2 linked regions of the Caenorhabditis elegans genome follow. The protein of the gene in region 2 interacts with the protein of the main gene of each other region in a pairwise test. Each region holds a gene or a part of one and is shown on either strand. Other genes may lie near its edges.

What was found.
Region 1: the proteins of C52A11.3 (region 2) and clec-209 interact in a two-hybrid assay, tested with the Caenorhabditis elegans proteins (one large-scale study listed by BioGRID).

What each region holds. Positions count from the first base shown.
Region 1 is NC_003283.11:2,349,522-2,353,452, reverse strand, and holds clec-209 (C-type lectin domain-containing protein), read right to left. Parts: upstream 1,778-3,931; coding exon 1,692-1,777; intron 1,625-1,691; coding exon 1,509-1,624; intron 1,256-1,508; coding exon 1,019-1,255; intron 973-1,018; coding exon 521-972; downstream 1-520. Other genes in the region: Y19D10A.8 (Major facilitator superfamily (MFS) profile domain-containing protein), read left to right, coding at 1-94; irld-53 (Receptor L-domain domain-containing protein), read left to right, coding at 3,128-3,242, 3,312-3,586, 3,629-3,757.
Region 2 is NC_003280.10:10,735,309-10,739,239, forward strand, and holds C52A11.3 (PDZ domain-containing protein C52A11.3), read left to right. Parts: upstream 1-2,050; 5' UTR 2,051-2,093; coding exon 2,094-2,120; intron 2,121-2,275; coding exon 2,276-2,416; intron 2,417-2,460; coding exon 2,461-2,607; intron 2,608-2,776; coding exon 2,777-2,857; 3' UTR 2,858-3,320; downstream 3,321-3,931.

The sequences.
Region 1 (3,931 bases), on a different chromosome or scaffold from region 2:
ACTCATTGTTGCCTGCAACGCAGGATTCCCATTTTTGGCAAGGTCCGATGCGGCGGGATATACGAAAAAACAAGAACCAACAGTGAAATGTTAATTTTTTAAACTTTTATTGTCAAAAAAAAAAAAACCTTTTCGCCTAGTTTCAACCTTCGATTCACGCTCTGAAAAAAAATCTGGAAACATTTCTGGCCTCTTTATCATGTTCACAAAGTGATCATTGATTTAAATTTTATTTCATTTCCCAACTTTTGATTTTTTTTGTAATCTGAAAAGTGACGAATCAGTAGTTTCCCGTCATGCAAACATCAATTTGGATAACCTCCTTATCACGCAATTTAGATAAGAGTTACGTCTAAAAACTTTCATCATTACTGATTTTTCACTATTTCTAATCAGGAAATTAGACTGAACTTCTAGCAGTTTTGTTTCCATGTTAAAAAATGTGCAGCCGACAAAATTCGAGTCCATTGAGCTTGTACAAACGAGTGATTAATGCTTGAAACTTTATTCAGTAAAATCATTAGAAACCTGCGGAGACTGGATAATCAGATGATCCAGATGGGCCGTCCGAAACTGGGAAATCTGGGGTGCCAAATGGACCACCCGAGACTGGGTAGTCAGAAGTTCCAAAAAATGGCATATCGGAAGCTCCAGTTGGAGAATCGGAGAATGGCAAGTCGGTGGAGTAGGCCAATGGTCCATCGGAACTTGCGACTCCGGTAGCGTCGGAGATCGGCTCGTCAGTGGCTCCCGAAGCTGGATAAATTGGTGAATCAGATGGACCACCCGAGACTGGGAAATCAGTAGCTCCCGAAGATCCAAAGAATGGTAGATCGGAAGCTCCAGTTGGGGAATCAGAAAATGGCAAGTCAGTGGAATAGGCTCCGGTAGCGTCGGAGATCGGCTCGTCAGTGGCTCCCGAAGCTGGGCCATTTGTGAAATCAGGTGTGGACCCGGAACCAGATGGAATTGCTAAAACTCTCTGATTGTCTTATTTCAGAAAAAACCTTCTACTCACGAGTAAAGTTTTTCGGATCATAACTGCATACAAAAGGAAGCTCGTGGTGCTTGCCAATTGTCTGCCATTTTCCGTCAGTCGTATGTTCGGCAACATAATTGTTATCCTTCGCATGATTCATATTGAAGTTGCTCCAATACATTGTGGTTCCGTCGTCCCATTGGAATCTAGAGCTCGGAGTTGCACGGCTTAAACCGATCCAAAACTTTGTTGCGCCAGTTTGGCTACGAACGATTGCTGTAAAAGGAATTAAAGTATTTGGAAAGAATATAAAAGGCTAAGTTCCTCAAGCGCTATGTGAATCTAGGAGCCAGGTACGGTATTCACACTGGGCTTTTGGTTCAGGCCACGTTTGGGCCGGGGACTGTGGTCAATCATACAGTTGTGTATTGAAGGACTTGAACTCTTGACATCTAGGCTTCCAGTCCCCACCACTACCGACCGAGCTATTCCAGCCCTACCTATGCCTACTTGTGTCCTCAAAACTCACATGCTAAGAAGTTAGTTTGTAGAGTATTGTGAAGTACTGCCAAATTTTGGTTGTTCCCCGAGCAAGCTCGTTCGGCTCCGTCGAAATTCCGGGTTTCAGTGTAAAATGAGTAACATCTGAAAATTTGAAAATTTAAGAATTAAATCTTTTTTTTTTCCAAAATGTAACTTAAGAAAAACTTACAGATCTCCAATCAACTTGTCCTCATAATGGGCACATTGCCCAGCGACTAATTGTAGAATCGAAAGAGCTACCACTAAACGAAACATGATTTCCAGCTTGTTTCCAGATACACATTCTCCTAGTCATTGATCTATTTATGTAAAAATATTATCAGCCTGTCAGGTGTGATAAGCGGAGTTTGTAAGGTTGATTTGTTGGGTTACACCCTTCGGAGCACAAACTATTAAGGAAAATTGATGATTTTTCAGACTAGATGGTGTGCTTTTTGTAGCAGATAAGTGAGTACTTGATTATAAAGAAAAACTTTAAAAAATAATTTTTGATTTGATTTTTGACCCACTTTGATTTTTTGATACTTTGATATTTTGCAAAAAAAACTCATGGAAAAAAACGTCTGCAATGATAAAAGGTGGGCTACACTCTGTGGGGAAATTGCTTAAAAACACGCCTATGGGGTCACAATGACCGAATATTATGATAAAAAAATTCAAAACATTTTTCTAGATTTTATATGATTTTTTGAAAATTGGGAAAATCTCAGTTTTCCCTTAATTCCTATTTGGATTACCGCCAATTGAATTTGTTCGATGGAGCGCGCTTGCAATATTTTTATTTATTCCATGGTAGCACAGAAACTAGATGGATTGGTTCATGATACTCAGTCTGGAAACCTATATTGGCTACTATCTCGAAAACCATCACAAAATCGGTTTTGCTATGCATATAAGAAATGACCGCAATGAAATTATCTATCTTTATTTGTGATGAATTTTCGATTTTGTACTTCCTGGCCAAGTTATGCAAGTTTGTTCGGTGGAGCGCGTTTGCACCCAACTAGCAACTGAACCACCGTGATTCATTTTATTCATTCTCATTGTTTCACTTTTTCTGTCATTTCTTTCATTTTCCAATTAAAAAATCCCGAAAAGTGAAGAAAATCAGAGAGATAATGAGAAAAAATGAATGAAAATAATGCAAGCGCGCTCCATCGAACGAATTCAATTGGCGATAATTCGAATTGGAATTAGGGGATCACTGAGATTTTTCCAATTTCCCAAAAATCATTTTTAAAAAACTAGACAAATTTTTTGAATTTTTTAATCAAGATATTCGGTCATTGTTATCCCATAATCATGTTTTAAAGCAATTTCCCCAACAAGTGTAGTCCACCTTTAAAACACCTCCGACCAATTAAAAAAAATTGGCCACGCCCTTTGCGCAGCGCTGATTGGTCCCTAACTACATGAAAATTTTTACAGCTGTCCTTAAAACTAGAAAAATTTCTAATTTCGTTTCCATAAAGTTCTCACAAAATCGAAATTATTATTTTTTGTTCAGCTAATCACAAAATGCCATAAAATTACTTTTTCACCTGTTTCCCTCTGGCTCATACATCTTTCGTTTTCAAATTTCCTTTGCTCGCTTCTAGTTTTGAAATGAAAATACTGATTTCACTAATTTTTCTAAAGTTATCACTCGTTTCGGACTCCAATAAATTAGATGTATTTGGTGGAATGAACCATTATATGAAATTTTTGGAGGAGAATTGTGGTGAGTTCTGAATAATTGAAATTGAAATAAGTGTGTAGATAAATCCAACTTAAAACAAACATCTTTTAGAGCCGCATTGCATTTTTCCGGAATCTTCTCTCGCTAGTTATAATCTGGATCTATTTCCAACAAATTGCAGCACTGTTTGCGCAGATATCCTAATTGATGAAAGATCCAATTTGTCCGAATATCAGCTATCCCATGCATTTCAAAATATGAAACATTTAATTGGAAGCTTGGCAGTAATGTCGACAGACTTCAAAAGTGGCACGTTCCTAGCTTCACTGGAATCGGTGGAGTGTAGCACGAAAAGTCGACTTAAACCGCCTGTTGATATAATAGAGGTACTGGATTTTTCTCGATGTATTACCAAAATTTTTTTCCAGCCACAGTTTATGTGGGGCGACAACCACAATATGATAAACTTGGGACTTGTTAATCTAACCTCTATAGGTTGTTCCAATATTTATTTTCTGAGAAACACAGTTAGACTATTGAATCTTCCAAACCTGAAGGTAATCTTGAAAAATTGGAAGATAGCACAATGTACATTATGCGAAATGAAAAAAAACATTTTTAAAGGTGGAGTGGCGCCAGTGGAGATTTTGTCTAAATGCACTTATAATGATCCAAAACGACGAAATATCATAGTAAAACACTCCAAAAATTTCTCGATTTTTCATAATTTC
Region 2 (3,931 bases):
TTTCCAATAATTTTGTGAAAAGTCTTCAACACTTTGCCCAGTTATTTTTACTGTAAGGGAGATTCTAAAGTACTGCCAAGAAGTTGCGAATTTCACTATTCGTTTTTTTTTGAATTTATCAGGGTACTGTATAAAACTGTCAGAAGCTTTTAGACGATAAATTTTGGTAAGAAGTTGCAAAAGTAGTTGCAACCAAATATTGAGATAAACCCGAGTCGGCATCACTTTTGTAAGTTTATGACATTACTCATCCACATTCTTTCTGATAGTAACTGGGAAACTTTTAAGAAATTATTTACAGGATATTTTCTACTTATTTGAAATGAAAATTCGTGACTTTTGCGCTAACCAGACCTGGTCTGGGAGAACCGATTTTTCTAAAACCATCCTATCTGAATTATGACAAATATAATTGCTCTACCAGAACCCCAGTTTATACTTTATTCAAACTTAATTTATACTTATCAATTGGCATTTTCGCCGATTCAATTTCAAACAAGTTTGGCTAAAAGAGAGCAAGATGACAGAAGTATGTGAGTTTGATGTGGGCAGAGGAACAGGTGATTTTTTGAAAAAAGAGGAAAGATGGAAATAGAAAATGCCGTACGAAAAAAGTTAATTCACATTCTTCGTTTTTCGGAAATCCAAAACCTGAATTACATTCACACGGAGGCTCGTTTCTTTCGGTGTCTTCTGCTTCTGACAACACAGAGTCTCCTTGACAACGATTCGTGGCTCAAATGGAGTGAGAATTCGAAGAAAAGGTAGTAGAAGGGAATAGAAAGAGGAAAGGGATTCAGAAAAAATTGTTCGAAGAATTGTTCTGTCTTAAATTAACGGGGGAAAACAGGATCTGTTTACACGCTACAATGAGAAGTTTTGTAGAATTATGTACATTCTGAAAGCAATAGAAATACAATTTTGAAATCAAGTGCTCGTGAAAAAGGAATATTCCAGATTAAATACAAATACAAAAATAAAAATCTAAAGTATTCAAGTCAGGGAATTTTCGTACAAAACATGACAGTCCAATTTTTTCCTGGGAAGGAATAACAACATTTAAAGAGCGAATTGAAAATGAGAAAAATAATTGAAATTTTTTAGAAAAAGACTTTAAAAAAAGTGTGGTGCGTCAGAAAATCTTCAGATCAATTTCCCAAAAACCGAACTTAGGTACAAGAAAAAGCTAGAAAAAAAGGGTTAAAATTCAGCTATGTGCAATTTTTTTTTGAATTTTGGCAACTTTCAAAATTATCATACATTTTTTAAAAAGGAGTCAAATTTATATTTTGTGAAAAATTCGATTTTTTGCCGAATAAAAATTCTGAATGATTTTTTTTCCATGACACATCTAGTTTCAAACAATGTTAGCTTGTCTGATCTTCTTTTTTGAAATGAGACATATTTTTACGCATGTTAACCTCGAAATTATTAAAACTTTAAAAAAAGGAGCGGAAATGATTTTTCAAACTCCGCACAAGGTAAGATATAAGGCACAAACCAGTCGGAACTACAAAATTAACAAATTTTATATGGAAGAAAATTTTAACTTTTTGTTTTTATTTTTAACGTTTGACAGATAATATTTGCGAAAATCTGGTTAGAACAGAATTTTGGTAGCAGCTGACATTTTCTTAGATTATATTTCACTAATTTTAAATATATATTTGCAATTATTTACTGATTGTGAGAACTTTCAAGTTGATTTAGAACAAGTAAAAAAAATTAAGAACTTCTAGACTGTAGGCATGCAAGTTTTTTAACGTCATTCTTACTCATCTCAGTTTGGAAACCCCTTCTCTGATCATACTAAATAATTTATTTGAGATTGTTAGCAACAAAAAAGTCCCTAAAGTGATGACTATTGTGATTCATAATTATATAAATGTTCAATATATCACGCGTTACCCTATGATCTCATGAAAATGATCAGAGGGTAAATATGATTTATTCAAAAACAATGAAATATAATGTTAATTGGAGAGGTAAAGTTTGAGCCGGGAAGGTATAAATATAAAGTTGAGAGTAATCATTTTCTGATGAAAGATTTTTACTATCAGTTTGGACCATAACTTTCTACGGATTCCAGAACAATGCGACGAATCACTTGCTGCTTTCCGGTAATTAATCGTTTTGTGGAAAAATAATTATTGAACATTAGGATTATTATTCAAAAATACTGCCCCTTTGCTTGACAATTTTTGAAACAATTTTCAAGTATAAAACATATAAAACATCCTAAAGAGCTTATGAAACATATTTAATAATACTACAGATAAAAATTCACCGAAGACAACCACCTAGTCCACCATCAACTATCACATTGAGCAGTTATGAGTACAGTTCACTCGCTGTCGGAATCATTTCCGATTTGAAAGAAGAGGGTTGTGATACATTACTTGTCAAGCTTCAGAAGGTTTTCATCAACACTTCCATTATACTTTCATAGATTTTTCTCAGGATGCCAATCGGAAAATCGGAATGGGAGTCGGGGTAAGAGATCGTGGAATCCTCATAACCACTGTAGTACCTGGATCGGTTGCCGCTGAGAAATTGAAAGTTGGAGATCGTATTTTGGCGGTCAATGGACGTCCAATTTTGGATCAGGTAAGAATGATACAACAAATAGGAGACACAATAAAATTATCCAAAAACTGACTGAAATTGAAAAAATTTTCTAAGGGGGAAATTTGTGCAAGATGCGAGCAAGACTAACTAGTTTATATTTATAACAAACATTTAGATATCCGATATCTATATTTGTCACTTACTTCAGCGCTCGGTGGTGAAATCGGTCAAAGCATCTGGTCAACGACTGTATCTTCAAATCGCCCGTCCTCACAAGGTACATAAATAATGGTCCCTATATTTTAATTATTGCGCTACGAACAGTTTCTTTTTATCTTCTAATTATTTGAAATCGTATATTTCTTCCCAAAAATTATTTTCCAAAAGGCTAATTTCAGCAAAAAGCCTCAACCAACCTCATCAACTTTTTTTGGCATTACCAAAGTTTCTAAAATTTGTTGAAGTTTGCTGCAAGAAATTGATAAGATACAATAATTATTTCCCCAACGAACCCTTTATCTGTACCAAAATTCAAATCTCGCATTGTAACGGAATGCACTTACTTACTGTTGTAGATTTTATCCGTCAAAAAATCTATTTTGCTAGCAATTTCACCTCCTCACACACGCTATAACATTTTTTTTCCTGACTAACCTCAACAGTTTTATTGTAACGATCTTAAAAAATTATTGAACTTCCTGGTGGGAGGTTACTCGACTAATTGGAATATTTATGAAATATTAAAAAAAAACAATAAACACAAGAAAAACAGTTTATTATATACTATTCATGCGTGGGAAATTATCCAAAAATAAAACAATGAAAGATCCAAAATAAGGACTAAAAGATAGAACACTAAACTTAAGGAAATAATATCACCGCATACTTTGCAAATGGGTGTAAAACGACTAGATATTCAGCATGTTTGGAACGAATTGAATAGTTTTCAAAAAAAAAAACGGTAAAACTTCAAAAAGAAAAACATTTCAAAAAAGTACCCTGCAGAGTTTGACAGAAGAGGCGAGACATAATTGACTGCCTACAAAATGCATAAAATTGCTCGCCTATATTTCAAAAAAAAAAATTCAAAAAAAATTAAGAAAAAAATATGGAAACCTGAGTTGTGTTGAAAGTTGGGGGAGAGGATTCGAATCAAGAAAAAAACAAGGAAATAATTTTAAGGGGGAAGCGGTACGAATAACATTGAGCACTTTTGAAGGTAGGAATGCTAGAATATTATTAGAAGTTCGTCAGAAAATGAACGACGAATATGAAGGGAAAGAGTGTAAAACCCGGAAATCGAAACGAATTGAGTGTTTGATCACCTACAAGACTAAAATATCACGTATGTTGTAACAGGGAG